Linked DNA regions of Lepisosteus oculatus. The protein of the gene in region 1 interacts with the protein of each later gene in a pairwise test. Links are inferred from orthologs where the notes say so. Each region holds a gene or a part of one and is shown in the gene's direction. Other genes may lie near its edges.

Region 1 (11,991 bases):
TCCCTCATCACTTGTATTTTATAAGATTCCCTCCTTTGTAGTTTTAATCAATGATCTTATTTAAATAGAACTTATTGTTCAATGGACTTAAAATGTAACATCTTTCATGTCAGTTTTTCACATTATATGTACAGTGCTGCATATGGGGGATCTTTAATGACCACTGAGTGTCAGGACCTCAGTTTAATGTCTCATCTGAAGACAGCACCCACTACAGTATAGTGTCCCCACCACTATACTAGGACATTAGGACCCACAAAGACTGCAGGGTGGGCGCCCCCCAATGGTAACACTAACACCTCTTCCAGCAGCAATGATTGCTTCACAGGAGGTCTCTCATCCAGGTACTAACCAGGCTCAACCCTACTTAGCTTCAGGGGGTAGCCAGTTGAGAGCTGAAGGGTGATATGGCTGTTGGCTAATTAGTAATGATATTAGAGCAAATTAAACTGCATTGAGAGGACAGGGAATGTGCCCAAAGGCCAAGTATATAGATTTCAGCTTTCAACAGTAGTGGAGTCTTTCTATTTCTGAATGTCACTGTTTTAATTTAAGGACTGTACAAGTATGTTATATATATATAGACACCTTAAATTTAAAAAGAAATGTTTAAACGTTGATTTATACAGAATCAATTAGTTCCGTGCAGTTTTCCATCCCCAAAGAAAATTGCACGTCTTCGATTAATTACTTTTGATTTTGGGTTTACCTCTGTAGTCATTGCGGACGTTTATTTTCACAAACGCAACGTACTGTAACCCTCGGCTGGTTCCAATCAAGTGCAACAGTAACTTGTCAGTTCTTCTGTTTTTCAATAAAGTTGCAGCGAAGTGACCTTGACAGCCGCCATCCGGGAGTTTGCAGGGAAAGAAGCAGACGCATGCGCAGTGGTTTCTAATCGGTTCGACCTCTGTAGCCGGTAAGTGAAGGGGAAGCAAGAAAAAGGCGAAGGAATAGAACATTTACAATCCCATCTCATCCTGTCCTGGGGATCTTTGTAATTAAGTAGTGGTTCTGGGTTTCATGAGTTTTCATTATCTGTGCATGCGTGATCTTCGTTTCGGTGTTGCTGTTGCAGACTTTAGGAGCAGAATTTCCATTGACCTTAACTCTCCCTTGTTCTTCACAGAGACAGACCCGGGTTTATGATCAATTCCGAACTCAGCAACCAATAAATCCAGACAGAATGTACGCTTGTGCTAAATTCGTTTCCACGCCTGCTCTGGTGAGTTTCTGTACCACATCTGATTTTCAAAAACCACATTTTCTGGTCTTTTATTCTTATTTCATTGCGGGCCTAGTCTTGAACTTGAGTTTTTCCTATTTTTTTTTCTAAACGTTTTCTGTTCACACAGGCCCCTTCAGTTTTTAGAATGAAATGGGGAAAAAAATAAATACAAACGACTTACTGTTCAATGGTTACAAAAGGGCAGTTATCAATATTAAAGTGAACTCATATCTAGATATAAAAGCTGAAAAAATCCGGCCTTTTTAGTCAAAGTCGTGCTATTTTTCTAATTGCACAGTATAATTCAAACCTCGGTAAGGGGTAAACCAAGTAAATAATGGTGCATTTGGAATTTTTAGTTTGAAAATGACAGCGATTTATTTTTTGAATGACTTAGGCTGTGCTCAGGGCTTGGGCCTTACTGCCTTGCTCTGCAGCTGAGATATGTCCTCTAACTCAGGACACAAGTAAAGGAGGCCGAAACGTAGCACAACAAGCATGATTAAAGTACTGGAATTACCTTTGGTACTGAAAAACTAAATATCTACCTGGAATTGAAATTGATTATTGTTCAAGATTTAAACGCCACAGACGTTTAATAATTTCAGAGAGCTCAATATATTGACGCTGTATCTCTTCCTTTCTTCTCAGTGAAGCTCAGAAATTATTTACAAATTGTTGTTCGTCTCCCATAATCCACGTTTTGGGTATGTGGTGGACTTTGCATGGGCACATTATTTTATGATCATGCTAATACTTGCCCTTAACTGTATGTTTTCTATAGGTGCATTTTGTTTTATCTTAAATAGCTACAGTGAAGTAAGATGATGTAAATGAAGTCAGTTTCCCTTAAGGTGTGGGCTGATGAGGTGTGTTCCCTGGTTGATGTGGGGTTTGTTTTGGGTGCAGGTCCGTGCTGGATCTCGGGCTCTGTGCAGACCTCTCTCTGCATCAGTGCTGTCCCGGCCAGAGGTCAGAACAGGAGAGGTGAGTCTAAAGAGTAGTGCTTCAGTCCTTGAAAATGTCATTTCAGATTGGTAGAATATTGGGATCAAATTCCATTTATTGGATTTTGTTTAGTGTGCAGACCTACATTCCTTAGTGGCCGATGTGCTTTAACATGAAAATTCCTCTGAACGTCTGTGCTGTGACCTTTAAAAGTGAGAACAGAGGTGACTCTTTACCCAAAGAGTTGTGGGAGGGTGGAACAAGTTACCCGGCTGATGCCGGTACTCTGGCTTCCTTCACAAAACAGCTGGAGGAGATCCTTGGATCAATGAGGAAATTACCAAACAGACATTATGGGCCCAGTGGCCTCCTGTTACATTCCTAAAGTACTTTCCCAAATGATTAAAATAAGCTGCATCCAGATAGAAGTGTTTTTCTTTCCCTTCTACTTTTTCTACAAAGAATTAAAACTTTTCCAGGGCAAGGCTGCAGCTGTGAGCGGGCCACAGAACTCTGTCTTGGCGCTCAGGGGGTTCCAGACCAGTGCCGTCAGCAGGGACATTGACACAGCTGCCAAGTTCATTGGTGCTGGTGCCGCCACAGTAGGAGTGGCTGGATCTGGTGCCGGAATCGGGACAGTGTTTGGCAGTCTTATCATCGGCTATGCCAGGTGAGAAACATCGTCATTTTGGAGCACAGGGCAGAGGTGCTCTTACAAGAGGTAGGCAGCGTCAGTGTAGCCTCAGATGGTCATACAGTTTGGATTCATCTGTAGATCTGTTAAGATTTTCATCAGGGACGCAAGTAGGTGTGTTCAGAATTGAGTGTTTCTGAGAGTTCACAGAACTGCTTTTTCTAGCTACAATTTTTTTTTGGAAAAAGTTTCATCCATTGCAAAACAATGATTTTTTTTGTGATTTCACACTTAAGATTTTTGTGTTAAACTCATTCCGAAGTCCTTCTTTATCCACTGGGGAATAAGAAAGGTAAGAAAGTGTTAATTAGGTAGGTCGGTTCACTGTAAATTCATGTTAAATTGGTACTGAACAACTGTAATCTGTAGCACTTGTTTTTACAGAAGACTAATTGCAGTCTTTCATTTCTTTGCCCCTGCAGGAATCCTTCCCTAAAGCAACAGTTGTTCTCCTATGCTATTCTGGGATTTGCCCTCTCTGAAGCCATGGGTCTGTTCTGTTTGATGGTTGCTTTCTTGATCTTGTTTGCCATGTAAAAAAAAACTGCTTCGGATGTTAATTCTACATTAGATGTAACTACGTGTTTTACAGTGGTTACTAAAACTGTTCTGTGTTGGTGTCATGAAAGTGTACATTTTTCAGGATTTTGTTGGAACACTGTCAAACTACAAAAATAAAAACATTGTAAGAATGTAACCAATGACAGAATTAAAATACACGTATTGGCTTTTTAAAGTCTCAAATCACAGTTCCGTTTTGTGTTCTGGGAATCAAGGTTTGTTTTAAAATCTCGTTATCAAAATATTTGTGCATTTCAGTACATTGAAAGCAAAAGATGTTTCTTATTGAACACTTAATACACTCAATTGAAGGATAAAGTTTAAAAGCACCCTTTGTATCATGTAGACTTTTTTTGCAATAGCATTAAGCAAGAAAAAGTGCTTTGTCACTTAGATGAATAAAAATATCAGTGCAAAATTTGGGATCAAAATGGCAGGTTTCATTTTATTGGAATTACAAATTTGGAGCCAGATGACGTGTTTCCAGCTCTGTTTGAGGTAATTAAACTACTTTGTCTTTACAAACGTGCAAAAAAGCAGATGCGTTTTACAATGGGAATCTCTGAATCCTTAAACTCTCTAAACTCTATGAATTAGCTACATTACTCTGCTCTCCTCCCCACTAATAGCTGATGTGTGGTGAGCGTTCTGGCGCACTATGGCTGCCATCGCATTGGTGGTGGTGGAGGGGAGTCCCCATTACCTGTAAAGCGCTTTGAGTGGGGTGTCCAGAATAAGCGCTATATAAGTGTAAGCAATTATTATTAAACACATTTTTAGTTTTTTTTCATATTACACACTTTGATTGTATTCATATTTCTCCCTTTTTTGAAGTGACATTTCCCATTTTTAACAGGTAATATTGGAAAAGGTCATGCAGAAACTGGTCCAAGGTTCATGATCTGCAGATGTCCCACTTTCCGTACAGATCACATCTATGAGTCTATATGAATTAAAGTGGTTTAACTGCAGTAGCATGATGATTAGGTCTCCCAGCTTCTTTACCTGGTTAAATAGTCATTGGATCAGTTAGAAATCAAATGGGTAAGAATTGTGAAAAATGGTCTCTTCTCATCTGTAACTAGAAGCAAGAATAGGCCTAGTTGTGTTGCACCTCAAAGTGTGGTCACTGCTTTAATTATTTGAAAAAGCATAATGCAGGGATTAAGGTTCTGAACTTGAACTATTAGGTTACTGGTTTAAATACCCAGTGGAAGCTGCTGTATCCTTGCGCAAAGCACTTTAGATTGCTCCGGTAAAATTCTAGCTGGATAAATGAGTATGAATGTAAGTTGGATGCTGCTTCTCAGTATAATCAGGATAGTGTTGAGCCGTCACAAATTCACAGCCGAAAATCTCAATACCATTACAAAGTGGATATGATTAAATTATACACTGCTTTTCGAAATTACTCAAAGCTTTTAGGAACATTTGTTCAGCATTAATGTGATGATATGGGAATACTTTTCATTAAGAACTTACATTATTATGTGTCGTACGTGTGCAATGAGGGGAAAAGCTTGACTGAAATATTACTGAACAAGTAATAGGTTTATTCCATGCTGAAAAAAAGAAGAAAGAGAACACAACGTTTCGGCCGTGGAGCCTTCTTCAGGTGTGAAGAAGGCTCCACGGCCGAAACGTTGTTCTCTTTCTTCTTTTTTTCAGCATGGAATAAACCTATTACTTGTTCCTTTGCAGCCTACGCATGCTGACGCAGCTACCCACCTGAAATACTAATGGCCTACAGTGAAGACTAAATTTTACATTAGAATTATAGACAGTATTGTGTATTCATTCAATGTTCTTGAAGCATATGATCTGCATAGCATCCTTCAGGTAGATACATGCTATTTTATGGAAAACATGCAATGTGAGGATTAAAATCGGAAAGCATCGTCTTTGAACACCGTTGCAGTATATTATATCAGAGTATTTTTATAGCAACATTGTCTTTGTTATAAGGCAGGTATGGGCAAATCCAATCTTTTGAGGAATTCCTGTAGAATTAAAAGGTGCTTTTCAGTTAGCAACACGTTAAGTCCTTATAAATTTTCTGTTCTTGGACAGATTTACACAAAGTAATTTAAACCAGAGGTGGAAGAAAAGTTAGATGATCCTATGGCTCTTCCCTCCTCTAGGGTATTTAAGACTAAAATGGATTTCATTGGTGAATATTGGAAGAGTGTCTGACATGGAGGAAACTCTGACATGTGCAGTCCAAGTTAAAGAAACTGGCACTCTTGACTGATGTCTTCCAGATTTTGAGTCGGTTAACCCCTGAAAAAAAGTGTTCTGTTCCTTTTTTAAAGTACAGGTTGCCAAGCACACACTGAAGAACAATGGGTGATGGTTTGTGTGCTGCTGGCTGGTTAGTCTCCTACCTGTACCTGAAAGAAGCTGGAAGCTTCGGATTTTGGATGGAACGTTTTTGACATCAGTACTAGAAGCTGAAAACACGTGGCACATGTTGGCCTCATTTGAGTAAAATGTTTTTTCTCCTGCAAAAAATAAAACTGGAGTATGTTTTCATCTCGTTAGCAAAGTATGCGTGTCTATATTAAATCATTGAGGACTCACCTGAAAGTAAAAGCCTTTATGTCACGTATTGTGTACACCAACATGTTTAAAATATGTAAATGTAAAAAGTAGTTTTGTCTCATTCATATTTAATACTAAATACATTCACAACGATGAATATCCAAAATGTTAACACTGGAAATGCATATTAAGAGACGAAGCAGTGTTCTTTCTATATGTAACTTCAGTTTTTCTTTTCCAATTCCGTGTAAAGAACGAGGTGAAAATTTAAAGTTTGTCTTATTTAACCGGCACAAAGAAGAATCAAAGCTAGTCAACCCTCTGCCCCACCCTCTCGAATCAAAATGCCCTTAAAGCACGCGTGTACGACCACTCAGCCCGTTCTGCGCACGCCACGTCACGTTCGTGACGCTTGCGGAAGTGTCCGCGCTGGAGCAGCGGTCGCGAGATCTGGCGGCAGCCCGTGGGATTTGGCCGTGAGAAAGGTTGAGCCCGTGGGTAAGTGTGTAAACAGGCCGTATAAACCGTGACAGCCGTGGTAAACAACGACTGCCACACCGGTTAAGGTAGCCTGCTGCTGGAAAGCAGTTTAGAGTAGCAGTCTCTACTTATTTTGTCAACGGGCGATGAATGCTTTTATACTGCAGTGACAGTAGTAATAATAATAATATGGCGACGGGGGTATACCCAACCCAAGACAAGAGACTGGGATGGTATAATGATGATGGACTGTAAACAAGAAACCGCATCTTGACAGTAATGTTCGCCAGGCACCCTAAATGTGATTTTAATTCATTAACATAGTGTGTATATGTGCATTTTTGCAGTCTTCGTAATGCAGCCTCCGCATTATTGTTTACACATCTAAGTCCTCTGTATAGAATATCTAGAACTTCTGCTGTTATGGTAGGGCACAGGTAGCATCTTTTACATGCAGGTATTGTAAAAAAAAAGAAGCTGTTTTACAACACAGCAATCCAGAGTTGTTCTTTTTGTTCCCTGTTCGCCGAAGAACATCACTGTCACTTTACTTAGAGAAGGTTAGCCCTGAGAAATACTACGATTAAGTTATTTAAGAGTACCTCACACGACACTAACACTGAATGGGAGTCGATTACTTGACAGAAAGGATATCAATACCTTGTGTTCGACCGGCGTTAATTTTTAATGCAACTGAAGAGGATGCTCGGCACGGTTAAATTTGAAAATAAACGAGAGACCAACCAAGCCAGCTGTATAACGCTTCCATGCATGTTTATGTTAGTTTTAAAACGAGTTTTATGCTTATTTGTCCAATGAGCTAGAGACCTTTTCTATGATGCACAAGGCTTGTTGGCGTGTCAGTCACTCCAGAATGCTGAGCTGTGTGTGTGAGTACTTCAGGAGGAAAGCAGAAAACACTTTCCTAGAATCGCCAACGATTTGTCACCTGAAGTATTTGTAATGTGTTCTGTGTTATCTCCCGGGCTTAAAGTTTACAGACGTTTTCAATACGTAGTCATATTTTCATTGTGGTTTTTTTTTCTTGCATGCTTGTGTTGAAATCGAGACTAAACGTTATTTAAGAAATGGTTTGTCGCCTTTTGCAGTGGTCCATGATGTGATTACGCGTGACAGTAGGTCTTGAAAGTGTGGTATCTTTCTCATCTAGGAGATAAAAGTATCTACTGAATATGAGTGATGACAAACCCTTTGTATGCACTGCTCCTGGATGCGGTCAGGTATGTATGGGTGGCAGTTCTGAAACTCTTTTTAAAAATAAAAGTTGGATATAATATTTTATTGGTTGCCTGTTTTACTTAACCTTAAGACAGTAACATTGCAAAACCAGGAATTAGAAATTACACAACCCGCCTAAATATTTCAGTTCATGAAATTGTTGGCTGAATCATTTAGAGATTCATTATCCTAAATACCTTTTTTAATGTAATGTTGTATTTTTTGTAGCGTTTTACTAATGAAGACCATTTGGCTGTCCACAAACACAAACATGAGATGACACTAAAGTTTGGTCCAGCGCGTAATGACAGTGTCATCGTTGCTGGTGAGTATCAAACTGCAGATCCCAGGAAGTGGGGAGTATTTACCAAGGGAAAGAGAATCTAAAGTGTAGGAAATTGACAAAAATGTCAATTCAGGTATGAAAAATGTTATCAATAGAATTTGCTTGTATTGACGTAACGGAAGAGATACATGTTGAACTTCATTGATCTATCAATAGAGGAACAATTAATAGAGTAATCATGCGTTGTCTTCCTTTTTGTGTTGCACATATACCTAAAACCAACATTTAAAAGCTGAAGGAGAAAAACTGCAAATTGCTGAGCTTTTATTAGATACCAGAAGATAAAGGGTGACTTTGACGTATTTACTGACTGCAGCAGAGTGAGACCGATGAAAGTTAGTTTTTTTTCACTGACAAATATAGTGGGGCTGTTTCTGTTTTGAGAGTTATGAAAAATGTGCTCTCAGCCTGTCTTCTGGCCACGTTGGAAATACTCATCAGCTGTTGATACGGTGTGATCAGTCAGTCATAGAAGTGGCTGTTTGGAGTATCTTGTCTGTCATGCCTTGCAGTTAGACTGCAATGGAATTTGTCTTGGCAATCGTGTAATCAAATCGTTCGTGTTCATTTCTTTCAGTGGAAAGGAAATCTTAAAACCCCAGCCTGACTCATAACAGTTCCAGACATTGTGGAGATATATGGTTGTTGTAAATTTATTCTAGAAAAGCCCATTATATAATTTTAAATATATCTAAATAGTAGGAAAAGTGCCATTGAAAACCTACAGTTGGCTATGCTGTAATGCATTTCATAGTGCATCATTTGGTCTTACCTATAAGTTATCACCATCTTTTGCTATTTTATATTTTCAATATGGGAGAACATAGGCAGCAAAGCCATAACTTTTAAGTTGTGATTTGTGTGTGTATTTGTGCTATTCAACATAAAATAATATATTACCTGACACCTGAAGAAGGCTCCACAGCCGAAACGTTGTGTTCTCTTTCTTCTTTTTTTCAGCATGGAATAAACCCATTACTTGTTCCTTTGCAGGCTACGCATGCTGACGCAGCTACCCACCTAAAATAATATAGATTTGCATTTTGTTATTGTTCCTCAACTGATAAAAAGAGCTCACATTGTAAATCTTTCTCATTAATAGGTAGCTGTTGTTGAATCAACTGAAAGACACTTTTGTTATATATTGTTTCAGACCAAACTCCAACACCAACCCGTTTTTTGAAGAATTGTGAAGAAGTGGGACTATTTAATGAATTGGCCAGTCCCTTTGAAAATGACTTCAAAAAAGCAACAGAAGAAGACATCAAAAAGGTAACGTTTATTAAGATGCTAAGAATGGTTACAATCGAGAGGAAGTCATTTGGCACCTCTAGTCCATTTGGTATTTAGTAGCTAATTGATTGAATGATCAAATCCAGTCGTTTCTTGAAAGAAGCCAGGGTATCGGCTTCAACAACATGTCTGGTCGGCTTGTTCCATACTCCCACAACACTTGGGGTAAAGAGGTGCCTCCTGTTCTCTGTTTAGAATGCAGGTCCATTTAGTTTCCACGTGCACAAACAAACATAAAATGTAATTTATTTTTTACATTATTTTGAAGGACTAGTGCAAAATTAGTTGCCATACTGTTCTTAAACAATACTGTTATTAATAGAAATTTGCCACCTAGGAATTGTTGAGACTGTTGCCACTAAAGTTTTTTTTTTGGTTTCTCGTTTACTTTTTAAGATTGTTTTTGTCGGTTCACGATGCCTCCATATTTCAGCTACCCTTAGATTTGTCTCCACTCGCAACTCCCATTGTAAGAAATAAAACTGAAGAGCCATCAGCTGTGGAAACCACTCACCAAGACAGTCCTTTGCCTCACCCAGAATCTACTACAAGTGACGACAAGGTAAATTCTACAGAAAATCCATTGTAGATTGGAGTAGTTCCAAATCTTTCTATTACATGTGCTGAGATGGAACCAAAGAAAGGCTCAGATTATTCTGTTTTTTGGGAACAATCAATGCATTTTTTCTGTGTTGAACTTTTTTCAGTAGTGTAATTAATATTAATTGACAATTGCCTTGTTGTGCTGGCACAGATGTAAGTGATGTATTGCTGTAGAAATTAGGCACACATAAAAAGAGGAAGGTATTAGAGGCTCTTTGCTTTAGTGTTTTTTTTTTTAATCTCTACCCTTTTATATCCAGAGATAAAACAAATTTAAGTGTTTTGATGTACCTTGTACGTTGTTCTGGCAAAGTTTTCTTTCTTTTGTGAACCATAACCTTTCTCATATTGAAAGGAGCACAATCGTGTTCTGTACGGAACAAGTCTGCTGCCAGCAATGTTTGCATTGATGTTTATGGTTTATTTTACTGTCGGCATGTTAAAATATATTCCACATCACATCACAAATAAATCTGTATCTCCAAGGAAAACCGGCATAAATTCCCCTCCAGCCCCATCATCCATAAGAATATGTGCACAGAATTTCAACAGGGCTGATTTTGCTGATGGAAACAGCTATAAACTGCAATGTTACTGCTTTTCTGGAGACTCGTTATAAGTTTGCAGTAATTCTGGTAGTGGTTTTGCTATTTGCCCTCTGTTTCTGTTCGCTTCAGTTTGACAGACGTACTTACCAATAACTGCATCTGTGCCATTTGCCTTCATAAAGTGAGAGTGCCGTACTAACATTTTGTTGTACCGGTACTAAAGACTAAGTGAACAGAAAAAAGAGCTGTAAAATAGTCTTAATTATGTAACATTTGAAAAATAAAATTGAAGCAAACTGGGGAGGCATGTGGGGTGTGTAAATTTAAGAAATTATAGGTAGTTCTTGATTTGTGGGGCAGATACATTCTTGAAACATGATGTGTAATGAAAAAAATGTTATTTTTATAGGGAAAGTTGTTTTGAATGTACGTGTAAATAAGGAGGGGTTGCATTCCGGGGTCCACTCTCAGCCAGAGGATTGAACCCCAAAAGAGAAGCGAATATATTTATTTTACGCAAAATGTTTGTACAGCTGTATTATAAGTTATGTTTAAGTTAAATGTCTGTTAATGTTTAGCATATGAACCTTCATGTTATATTCATTCCATTCTTCTGTCCTTCACTCTGTCAGATTTTTAAATCCTGTTTAATATAAAGTCTTGCAAATAACATTGCAAATATTATTTCCTTGTTGAGAGTTTTCGATTATTATTTTAGTTATTTAAGGTTTTATACAATGTCGGGTAGCACTGTGGTTAGCCTTGCAGCGCTAGGGCCCTAGGTTTAAATCCAGGGGTGTTTGTATGTTCTTCCCATGTTCTTGTGGCTTTCCTCTGGATGCTCTGGTTTCCTCTCCCAGTCCAAACACATACTGGTAGGGCAGTTCGCATCTGGGAAATTTGGCGGTGTTGTGAGTGTATGTGCGTCTGTGTTTGTGTCCCATCCAGGGTGTACCCTGCCTTGTGCCTGTTGCTTGCTGGGATAGGCTCCCACAACCCTGAATTTGATGAAGCAGTTAGAAAATGGATGGATGGATTTTATACAATATAAACATATGCTTACTAAACAAACCTTTAAAATAGCTTTATTGTCTTAGTTTGTATTTATTGGGAGGTGAACAGTGGCGAACAGTCAGAACAGCTGCCTGTGTGTCACCCAGGCCATTCATCCTGGTGTAACAACTGGGTACACCCACTGTTTGAGGCTCAGTGTATTGTCTCTAACAGTCTTACAAATTGTCTGTTACTGGCCATGGCTAAGTGTGTTAAAGTGCCTAATTGAGAAATGGTATGTATATTTGAGGTGGGTTAGCCCATAATTTATTACAAATTAAGAATGTGTGATTCAAGAACTGTATATTCCAGTTTCATTTGTCAACATGTGGGTTCTAACATTATTTCACGTATTTTTAATTACATTCCGTGCAATTTCTAATGCAGCTAAGGTTCAATTTGCATTTTTTTTCAGGATGTTGCATTGCAGCCGACTTCACATCCAACATCTACTATA
Region 2 (11,232 bases), on another chromosome or scaffold:
CTATGGGAGGAAACCAGAGCACCTGGCAAAAACCCATGTAAATACAATCATAAAATCTCCATGCAGATAGCACCCAGGCCTGAAATTGAACCCAGAGCCCCAACACTGCAAGGCAGCAAACCTAATGACTATTACGCCATTTTAAGTAACACCTTTTTAAGTAACATGCAGCCTGATACTTTTACTGGTAGTCCGGATGATTTAAGGTAATATATAAACCATGCTATTACTGTATGTACTTGCTGTGTCTTTGCCTGAGGCCATAGAGAAGTTGCTTACCTTTTTGGGGTAGGGAAATGTGAACTATTAAACCTTCATTAAAGACAAAACAGAAAGTCTCCTTACTGAGAGAGAAATTCTCCCTTTTTATATATCAAAACAGTATGATATATAAAAACAGTATCAAAAACAGATACTTGCTAAGTAATACATTAAGTATTCAGTACTGTGAAGAACTACTGGCATACTCTATAAATATCTACCTTTTCTATGCAGTAATAATAGCCTAAAAAATGACCTGAACAAAAGATGGTTATCTGAGTAGTTTAGTGAGTTATGCTAAATTTATTAAGGACTGTAAAATAAGAATACGCTGTGGCTTGTCTTTCCAAAATACAGTACATGGGAGCAGGCACACCCCTGGGAGGCTGAGAAACAGTGCTGTGTTACTGCTCACTGTAGCACTGGCACAACCAGTGATGTAGAAGCCTGGACCGCTGATGAGGCACTTACATGCAGTCAGGCTTCTCATTTATTATTAAAGTGAAGCGGGAAGCCTTCAGTCAGACCATGGAATAGGGAGGTGATGTCACTTTACCTTTGGTTTCCTATTGGACTACGACTCATCATGCATCAATGGTATCATCATAGCCCGTATTCCATATCCATTTTATATCACCAATTGGAAACAGCATGTTAACAAAAAAAAAACACATGACTCGCTTCATTACTGTAATGTAATTCTGCAATAAGTAGAGTATAGCTCAGAACTATGAATATTCAGTACTTTTATTGGTAAGAGACTGACAAACCTGGGCCAATAAGCTACAGTATGAAGTACTAGGCAATTATGGCAGACCAGATAGCCTCCTCCCTATCGTTACTCTTTATATTAACAGTAAAGCATAATGTGTTAATTGCTGTCAGTGCTGGGAAATTACATTTTAAAACATTTAGGAAATGGTAGAGCAATATCTTTCTTTTCTGTGTCTCATAAAACAAAATTTGCTGGCTTATTTCTTCTCCATCTTCTATTATGATGACCAAATATTTCACAGGACTAAATGATATCACGGTAGCCTCTATATAATAATTTAGTTTTAATAGTTGTGCTGATTTAATGTTTAATTTAATTTTCATTTAAAAGAGTTGAATCATCTTCAATTAAAGCTCAGTTTTGATACGGTTAATCATTAAGAGGCTTCCACAGAATATTACTCATCTGTGAAGAGTGGGCTTTAACACAATTAACATTGCAACTAAAGTTGCAATTTATTTATAGCTAATAAAATATAAATTTGTTATTATAACTAATTTAAAGTTAGTTCCTGAACATTAGTGTTATACAGTCCATTCATTAGCTTCTTTCTGTCCTAGGTGCGTTGTTGTTTTCATTCATTTGGCTAAAGTGATTCCCAGAGGTTACAATTAACCAAGTTTTACAAGCATACTGTGGTGACAATTTACAGCTGAGTTTTCTGTAGCAATTTTGGTAAGGCACCTTACTGTTAGTGCCAGCAGGTACAGTATATCACCCTGCAGCTCTCAACTGGCTACCCACTGAAGCTAAGCAGGGTTGAGCCTGGCCAGTATCTGAATAAGAGACCTCCTGGGAAGCAATGGTTGCCACTGGAAGTGGTGTCAGTGGGGCCAGCAGGGGGTGTCTGTGTGGGTCCTAATGCCCCGGTATAGTGGCGGGAACACTATGCTGTAGTGGGTGCTGTCTTTTGGATGAGACATTAAACAAAGGAGGCCCTGACTCTCATTGGTCATTAAAGATCCCTGGGCATTTCTGGATAAGAGTAGGGAGTTATCCTGGTGTCCAGGACAAATTTTCCCCCTTGGCCTTTACTGTGGCCTTCAAATTGTCCCCATGTATGGCTTGCACCTGCCCTGTGATGGGCTGGCGCCCTGACAAGGGTGTACCCTGACTTGCGCTCGCTGCTTTCTGCAACACTGTAAGGTATAAACCGGTTTGGCAAATGACGTGACATGACCTTACTATCATAAATCAATAGTTATCCCAACCAAGAATTTAAAGGAGGTAATTCTGCCCATACAGCCGTGCCATCAGGGGCCCAGAGTCCTTACCATTAATCCACACTTCTAACCCCGGTCATGGTCTTGGCCTTCACTTCCTCTTTCATCATAATAATGGCTTGGGTACACCTTTCAAGGGAAAACAGCATTGAGATGACTATGACACACACCCTGCACAGATGTTTTCTGTTTCACTATAAATACTTACAGGAAACGAGGTTCTCAGTTTGAAAGTGTAAGTAAGAAAGTGGTGTTGTTTCTGTTTAAGTCCATAAGAAAACTGTGGGTGGCTGCTGGGGTCAAACTTAGAAAAAACACCGGTGCATAGAAAGTCAAGTGGTTCTGTCTGTCTAGAAGATGCTGGAAGCAATGGTAAAAGAGCTGCTGAGTCATTTAGCCTTGCTTACTCAACTTATGAAATGTTGAGAGCAACGTCACTTTCACTTCTGATTAAGGACAAAGGTCAGCTCATGAACCTTGGTCCAGACTCAGGACTGACACAATGGCATTTAATCTAATAGCCAAGCAGACTTTCAAAATCTGACAGGTGAAAATATTCTTCACTGTTTGAGCTGTTGCCATATTGCAGGTCCCTCTATAAAACTAAAACAATGGTGCTTTGAAAAACAACCCAATTATAAGCTACACAACTGCCAAGAAACATTTACAAATATTGCATTTACCAAATCACATATTTTGCACAATCTTTCTTACATATTACTTCCAGAAATTCATTATATTTCAAATAACAACAGGTGAATTTGGCCTGTACTTGTTTAATATAACTTATAGTAAGTGGTTATGGTTTCAAAATATAACTAAAAACTTAACTGAAACACTGGTAAGAATAAGGTTTAGTCGACCCTATGCAGCTTTCTCATGAGGATATGAAAATACAAAACTTTTTTCTTTACAAAAGATATGTGTTTTATTGTGGCCAAAAATAAGCCTGGAACAGGAATATTAGTTTCACATGATGCATAAAGAAAAAAAACATTTGACTACTGTTTCACATAATTTGATGAGGCATAAGGGGATGTTAAACTAGTCTGAACCCAAAACAGACAAATAAGACAAAAACAATACCAGACATATATTCCTTGAAAAGAAGAAAAGGATTGGAGCTTTTTGAGTGTTTGGAAAGCTGGGATGTGCATTCCCCAGCAGTCTGAACATCTGAAATGAAAGATGATTTGGCAAGAAGGCAGTGGGAGAGTGTTGCTATGGCCATAGCCTGGTAAACAAATATACACCAACTTACTCGCTTTCAAAGCTGAGAACAGAAGACACAGAACCGATTTAACTTCGTTTTAAAATAGCCATGACTTCTACTCTTCTGCAATGCTTGAATGTAATAAGGAAACTACAACCATTATTTAAAGGAAGCAGAGTCATTCTACATGTAATGATACAATCTGGTCACCAAGGTTAAAATTATGCTGAGTCACAGAAGTTATTTTTGTATTAAAAATGAGTTTGCCTGTTTCTTTTAATAGAGTATGCCCCCAGCTGTGTGGAATTTTTGGGACACTTCTATCACAGTTCACATAAAGGAAGGTGTCTTGCTCCTTTGTCTACGAAAGTAGAGTGAACTGAATCTCGAGGAAGTGACGTCACAGCACTAGTATCATTTGACAAATTATTTCCACAACCATCATACCTGCTGTAAGACAACAGGAGGGTGACGACATGACAAGTGCTGAAGTTTCAAGAAATGTCTGATTTTGCTTTGTCATAATTAGAAAACCATTTTCTCTTTTAATCTTTTAAAGAAGAAAGAACTGTTATTTCAGTTGTAAGAGAAACCTAAACTACAAGTTGAAATTCAAAACAATTATTGTTATTTATTTATCTATTGTATAACAGAGTTCTGTAAATATGCTTTAAAAACAAGCCGATTTCAGGATCATAGGAAAAACTGTGATGGTAAAGATTTTGTGCCACAGCTATGATGACCATAGCCCATGTTAAAGACCATGACTAAAACCATAATATATTTACAGGCAGTCCTGGTATCAATTAATATAGATACAGAAATAACACAATATCTTCTATTGAGTCCTTTTCAAAAGTTGCATTTTAAAGTTATAAGGAACATGTTATTTTTTTAGTATCAGTGGAAATAGTTATACATTTTGTAAAATACCAGCTCAACAGATCGTGTGTGATTTTGATATAATTCAATATACACTCACCTGGCATTACATTTTTCTCAATAATACAGTTCTAGAATTATACTATTGCTTAATATTAATATATATTTTTTGTTGCTTACCTAAGCTAATATACAGAAAAAATTGCTTTTAAAAAAACATAGTTTTTACATGTTAATTTAACAATTAATGCTTTAAGCAAAATGAGTATAAGAATTTGCTGTGAAAGTCTTTTTTAAACTGTACTATATGTCTCTATTCAAGGGAATCCACACATTCCTGTTAAATCCTAGTTCATGATCGAACTGAAAATGTTTTACAAAATTTAGCCCTGATTCCCATTCAACACCCAGTTTCTACTAAGTCACACTAAGCATGTGTCAATTGACAATTTACGTGGTATGGGGAACGGTTTTGTAGTTCCTCATTTTCACGGCAGTAATTGAGAGCTTTGGTCTGGAGTACAACCCCAATTTACGAGATCGAAAACCAATATTTTACAGTTCCTGAAGGCTCTAGACTCTTACTTTGATTTACAGTTTAGCTTTATTTTAAAGTTTACATATTGCCAAAATACTGTTAAGAAATTAGAACCCACTATTAAAAGAACTGGGAGACTGGTATAAAAAAAGAAACTGATTTCTGATTTAACGACCCAGCTTGTTTTCCATCACAGGAATTTATGTGATGGAAAAAAAAAGCCCCGTCCCTTTGTAAATACTAGGGACCGGTGTACACTCATAATGTAAACGAGAAATCCTGTTTACGCTTTTAAGGAGTAAGGGCCACACACCCATTTAAAAAATGACGATGGTCTGATTCACACTCATCATGTAAGAGATTCACAATTAAATTAAATTTAACTCGGGTTCTGCGTATGTTAAAACTACCCTCAGTACAACAGCCTCAACAATTTTATATGGGCAAATGTTTGCAAAAACAACAGAATGCATATACAGTTCTTGAGCTGCGCAGACAAAGCTAGCTCTGCTGGTCTTGATCGCAGGAAAATCTGAAAATGCAGTTATGCGTTACATTTCGAAAAAGTTTCTGTCTAGTCAATAAACAAATCATATTTTTTTTTCCAACAAAGGCTACTCATCGCTGGAAATAAAAAGTATTACACCTTTCGGGTAAAGTAATTACAGCAGCCAATACTGTTTCATGTTAAAATGTATATCCTGGCTTTAAATGTCGCTCCCTGTTGTCACTGTCCAAAAGCTCAGTGAATATATTCAAAACAAGTAAAACGAGTGTTTAACATTTACAGCTCAGCTGGCTCCCTTTCTGTCTTCCTCCAAGATGACGTCACTCTGCGAGAATAGGCGCTCGGTGAGCCCAGGCCGCTAATGTTTATATCAGTTTCGCCGGGTGAGTAATCTTCGGTTTTACGGGAACACGATGTGTCACCCAGACAGAAAGCGCAAATGATCATCATTGATTTTGACTTTTCTGCAGTACCCGTTCCCTATGTAATCTATTGGTAGAGGAGGGGTTTCGCTGTAGTTGTCATTTTCTCATTTCTCAGCTGATTGAAGCACTGCTCAAAAACAGAAGAAAAAAAAATGACTCCTTCACTTCCCGGAAAAGGGGACCATCTCCCTCTTCAGTTGCTGGTACATCAGGAGATGGTTTTCTCTCTTAAAGTTGTAATACAGATTTACCGTAAATTGCATCGACAAAACAAATTATCCAATGTGACTGGGTGTATGTACATTACGATCAATAAAGGGGACTGAAAAAAGAGGCATATCTCCAAAAGGACAGTAACATTGTGGGAGACATTTCCATAATTAAACGACTTTTTTATAAACGAAGTGACGTTTTAAGTAAATTAAAAAAATTCTCATTAGGACAAAAGGGAATACAAACATGTGTCTTATGTTTGTTTCTCAAATTATCTGTTTAAATGCAGAACGTTACTTTAGATTTTTAATGTAAATTGCTCAATATAGAATTTACTTTGGAAATATATATATATTGCAACGTTTAAAGTTTCTTATTTTTGAAATGGAGTACAAATGGAACAAAAAAAAGTACAAATGGAACATTTCAGTAGCGAAATGAATAAATAATTTGTAGCATCATATTCCTTCTTAAAAGTAATATGAAATATGAAAATTAATATGGAATAACTACCCAGTTAGCAACGTGACAAACTTGATATGCTCATTTTGGCGTCATTGGGCTAATGTTATAGAAATCATGTAATGACCACATGTAAATTTTAACCAAGTCATTTATCCATGGCTAGTGGCTTACTCCCTTACCATGTTCCTTTGTATCTTTCCAATTAGATAACGAAATAATACTGGGCGCAGTAATTTCAGTGTTACCTATCTTGCCTTTGACACATGTTTTGTTTTATCCAGTTCCAGTTCAGTTTACTGTCATATGCAGAAGTGCAATGAAATGCGTATTTGCATGTATGCTCCGATACAAAGACATTAAAGGAATCACCAAAAAAGTACTGTAGACACAGAACAGCAGCAGCAACAACAAGTTAAATAACATACATCTTGAAAAAAAAACATCAGTGTGAGCCAGTGGTAGGGGTAGAGTTCAGTAATCTGAGTTTGTGGGAAGAAACTGTCTCTGAATCTGGACGTTTGTGTCTGGTTGACAGGTATAACATGATACCTGATAACATTCTGATAACATTTTCACATTCTCACTGCACTCCAGTGTGCATATGTAAAATTTCACTTGCTTACAAATGAGTCAAAGGTCAAATTGCTTTTAGGCAACCAGTTAAATTAAAACTCATCTGAAGTGAATACTGAAGGGTTTGTGGAAGGAGGTTACCAAGCCTTTTCTTGGACAGATGACATCATACATTTCTCCCACGCGACTGTAAAGCGCATTTGGTAAACATACATATAAAAATAGCGCCATATAAATGATGTGTAATAACATCAATAGAATTTCCATTAGGTTTCACAACATCAGGTACAGTATATTAATTTGTAACTATAGCTTTAGTTTGACATTGATGTTGGAATCAGTCCATACATTCAGCTCAGGAATCTCGGTTTAGCTTTAAAATCAGCTTTGCATTTGGAACTCCTGTTTGCAATGTTGAAACGTGTGAATGTATGAAAGGTAACTTTGTAATTTTTGTAATTTACTCATGTCTTTCTCACTCTGATGCAAACAAGCCAATACGTGTACAGGTAGGTATTTCTTGATTTCGGGCTTGATGACTGTAACACAGTGCTTGCTGGTTATTTATGTATTAAGTTGCCTCAGAGCTCAAGTGCTAACGTAACCAAAACTAAAATATAGAAGTTAAAAAATTCTCCTATTTTACCTTGTCTGCTCTTGCATTTCAGAATGAAATGCATTTCAGAAGAAAACTTAAAATATCAGTGCCCTCCTTTAAAGGCCTGAATAGACTCCTGTTTACATCAGTGAACTGTTATCTCCCAGTACACCTACACATCATTTGCATTGTTTGGACTCTGGCCTTCTTTCAGTTCCCAGAATCAGGCTTCAAACTTTGGTTTGCTTTGCTTTCTCTTCTGCTGCTTCAAGGCTATGGAATGATCTCACAGCCCATATTAGGTCATTTTGGTTGTTTTATACTAAAGAGCTCTGATAAGATGTGTCATGAAAGGTGCATTACAAAACAAATCTGATTAATTTCCAAAATGGAAAGAGATGTACAGTAACAAGTGTAACACGTTTTGTACTGTCTTCCACACTTTTTATAAAGAACAAAGTCAGCTTTGCTCTCAAACTTGCAATTTCAACTGATGAACCCCTCAAACAATTACAGCCCAGGGGAATAAAATAGCACTTTATAAAGGAAAGTTTACAGACAATGACAGTAATGCAGAAAAGATCAAAACAATATGACAAATATTATTTAAACCACATAATAGCTGATGAGTTGAAATTATTTAGATTTGTAATGTATGGGAGATCAAAAGTCTTTTTTTTTCTTTTGAGAGATAAAGAAACACCTTCAATTTTATTAGAAATCTCAGTCCACTACAAAATACCTTTTCAATGCATTTGTGGGGTATTTCTGGTGCATTTGAATATAAGAATGGTGGCAAATAAGAGGAGGATATTCAACCCACCCCAAACCCAGGGTATCGACTTCAACAACACAGCTGGGTAGTTTATTCCATATCCTCTCAACCCCTTGGTTAAGGAGTGCCCTCTTTTCTCAAACCTAAATGCCACTTGTGTCTTGTGTCTTATGGTTCATGTGTTATTGATGAATCTGAGGAAGTCCTCCATGTTGTATTCGTCAGTGCCTTTGAGGGTTTTGAATATCTGGATCTGGTACCCTCAAAGTTTCCTCACCCAGTCTAGTGTGTCATTAAACAAACAAGGCATGAGAGGTTAAATCAATTCTAATATGTTACATTTTGCAATTGATCTATCCTATTTAATCAATCAATGGATTATGTCAAACCTTTAAAACGCTACATGATAGACTGCTGGATGGGACACTTAATGCAAAGCAGGGACCCAGAAAGATTCCATCAAGCTGTGAATTAAAATGTTTCTGTGGGCAGCTTTGGGTTGAAATTCTGTCAGAGGTTATCTTGCATTTCTGAGGTATGAACTAACTGATGTTTAAAGCTTGCACAACATTGGGTAATAATTACCATGAGTTACTTCAAGGGACACTGTGGAATTAAGAAAGAAAATTGAAACACAGTCATAGCTGCTGTAAATCTGAAACTTATTCTGTTTCTTTTAAATGACAACTCGCAGATAGAGCAAAGGGACTGTATGTGAGGAATGAAAGTCAAAGAACTGTCTTTGATGAGGTTAATGTAGTTAACTTTAAAAAAAGACACACTGCTACCACTGGAGGCTGATACTCCACAATCCCTTCCTAGTTCCTTAAAATGCATAAAAACTGACATGACAGAAACTCAACAGAAACATGCGTTTTACTATGCAACTCTCACTATTGCTTTAACTGTGAATTGCAAATATTAAAATTCTCTCTCAGGCAGCTGGGTCTTTTTTAATATCCTAATAAACAACAAAAAGTATATATAAAAATACAAGTATTGTATAATCTTAAACTTGTTTGAGAAAAATTATATCTTAGAATAATTTCTGAAAATCATAGATACATGTGAAAACAGTAAGAACTATAATATATTTTGCTGTACTTTAGTTGCATCTAGGTTTCAAGGATATTATTATTAAACAGACTGCAGGTTAAGTTCCTGTCTATCTGATATAGATACAAACTAACAATTAAATGTTTTTTAAACATTCTAACTGACAAATGCCAGATTTCTCTGGTACATGGTATACTGACTGTTTTAAGTTGTCTGGAGAGTAGCATTACATTTTTGCCTAACTAAATTGGCTGTATAATGTATATATTCCTTATTGTTCACTTGCCGCACTTCACTTACTGGATTTAAGTAATACCTTCTACTACTACTCATATTAATAAGAAATAAACAAAGAAAGAAAAAATTAGTGTAAACGCAATAATCTGTTCTGAACATAGGTAAACGTCTTATTTCGAATTACATCAGAAACTATCTTTGAAAACAATGTCAATAATATAATCATATAATTATTTTTAAAAAGTTTTACAGGTTCTTCTGAATTTCTTTCAACTTTAAAGCTCTTTTATCTTAGTTTATGTGACTTTTATGTATTACCGTATATTACTTCATTTAAATTTTTTTGTCATCAGTTGCCCTTGTACTTTCGCTATGATAAGATAACTTTATTGGCCATATACAATGTCTTGCATTAGGAATTTGTCTTTTCACATACCCCAGCTTGCTCTCCACAAAACACACACATAGGGGGAGAGAAGCTTGGGGTCAAAGCACAGGGTCAGTCATTTATATGGCAGCCCTGGAGCATCTGGGGTTAAGGGCCTTGCTCAGGGGCCCAGTGGAGTAGGATTCCCCTGCTGGCCATGGGATTTGAACCAGCAACCTTCCAGCCAAAGGTGCAGATCCTTAGCTTTACTGAGAGGTAACAATAAAGATAACTTATGTTCTATTGTAAAGAACATAACCATTTAAAAGCATTTTGCAAGATTAAAACAGTTTGTTTTACACCCCTCATCAGGCTTTTTTGATTGGGAGGAACAGAAAGAAAATGTTAACCAGGGGTGCAGTATTTTATGTGCACACAATTTTATCATATAATATGTCCAGATTGTGGTTATTAGTAATTATTTTAATAATAACAACTCATTACTATAAGAAAGTACATTTACATGTGGTCCACTGAACAACATGATCTCAGATAACTGAAATCCTTGATGTATACAGTTGATTCACTGGCTATCCCTCATGGTCAAGAATGACAGCCTTCCATGAACCCATCATGAAAGGTGACTGATAAAACCAATTTAGGATCCTGAATAGCAGGTTTGAACGGGTGCTGTCTCTGGTGATGTGTGGTCATGTGCTGCGTAATTGAGTCACGGTGAGCTCTTCTCAGTTCTCCTCATCCTGACATCTTTGGGTCTCAAAATGCTGGGCTCTGCTCCAGATAATCTCTTCTTTCCATCTGGTTCAGTCAAGGGCCACAGTCTTGAACAGGAGTTCAAGTCAACGATTCAAAGCTGACTGAAGTCTCTGAATGCAGCGTGTCACATGTCTACCTACACGGAGCAGCACTCTCTTTCTCTGCCGAGCTCAAATAATGATTAAACACATAAGTAAGGATGGGCCCTTCCGCAGGGCAAAGGGACTTCAGCCCCTGGGAGATGCAGGGTTCTATAGTTTTCATTCCATCTCTGATCTTATTTCCAACCATCCATTTTCTATCCACCTTTGCTGGTGAGGGCTTTGCCAACCTTAATTATCTCATG

The links.
Region 2: the proteins of atf2 (region 1) and atf3 interact in binary tests that used the Homo sapiens proteins (3 or more experiments, as listed by UniProt). The link is inferred for Lepisosteus oculatus from reciprocal best matches to the Homo sapiens genes ATF2 and ATF3.

What each region holds. Positions count from the first base shown.
Region 1 is NC_090707.1:17,190,033-17,202,023, reverse strand, and holds the start of atf2 (cyclic AMP-dependent transcription factor ATF-2), read left to right. Parts: upstream 1-6,368; 5' UTR 6,369-6,470; intron 6,471-6,477; exon of another isoform or gene 6,478-6,538; intron 6,539-6,544; exon of another isoform or gene 6,545-6,753; intron 6,754-7,561; exon of another isoform or gene 7,562-7,623; 5' UTR 7,624-7,645; coding exon 7,646-7,693; intron 7,694-7,919; coding exon 7,920-8,016; intron 8,017-9,190; coding exon 9,191-9,309; intron 9,310-9,763; coding exon 9,764-9,892; intron 9,893-11,949; coding exon 11,950-11,991. Other genes in the region: atp5mc3a (ATP synthase membrane subunit c locus 3a), read left to right, coding at 1,187-1,225, 2,138-2,215, 2,656-2,846, 3,293-3,407. UniProt on the Homo sapiens protein: Transcriptional activator which regulates the transcription of various genes, including those involved in anti-apoptosis, cell growth, and DNA damage response.
Region 2 is NC_090697.1:18,858,689-18,869,920, reverse strand, and holds the start of atf3 (cyclic AMP-dependent transcription factor ATF-3), read left to right. Parts: upstream 1-5,616; 5' UTR 5,617-5,783; intron 5,784-11,232.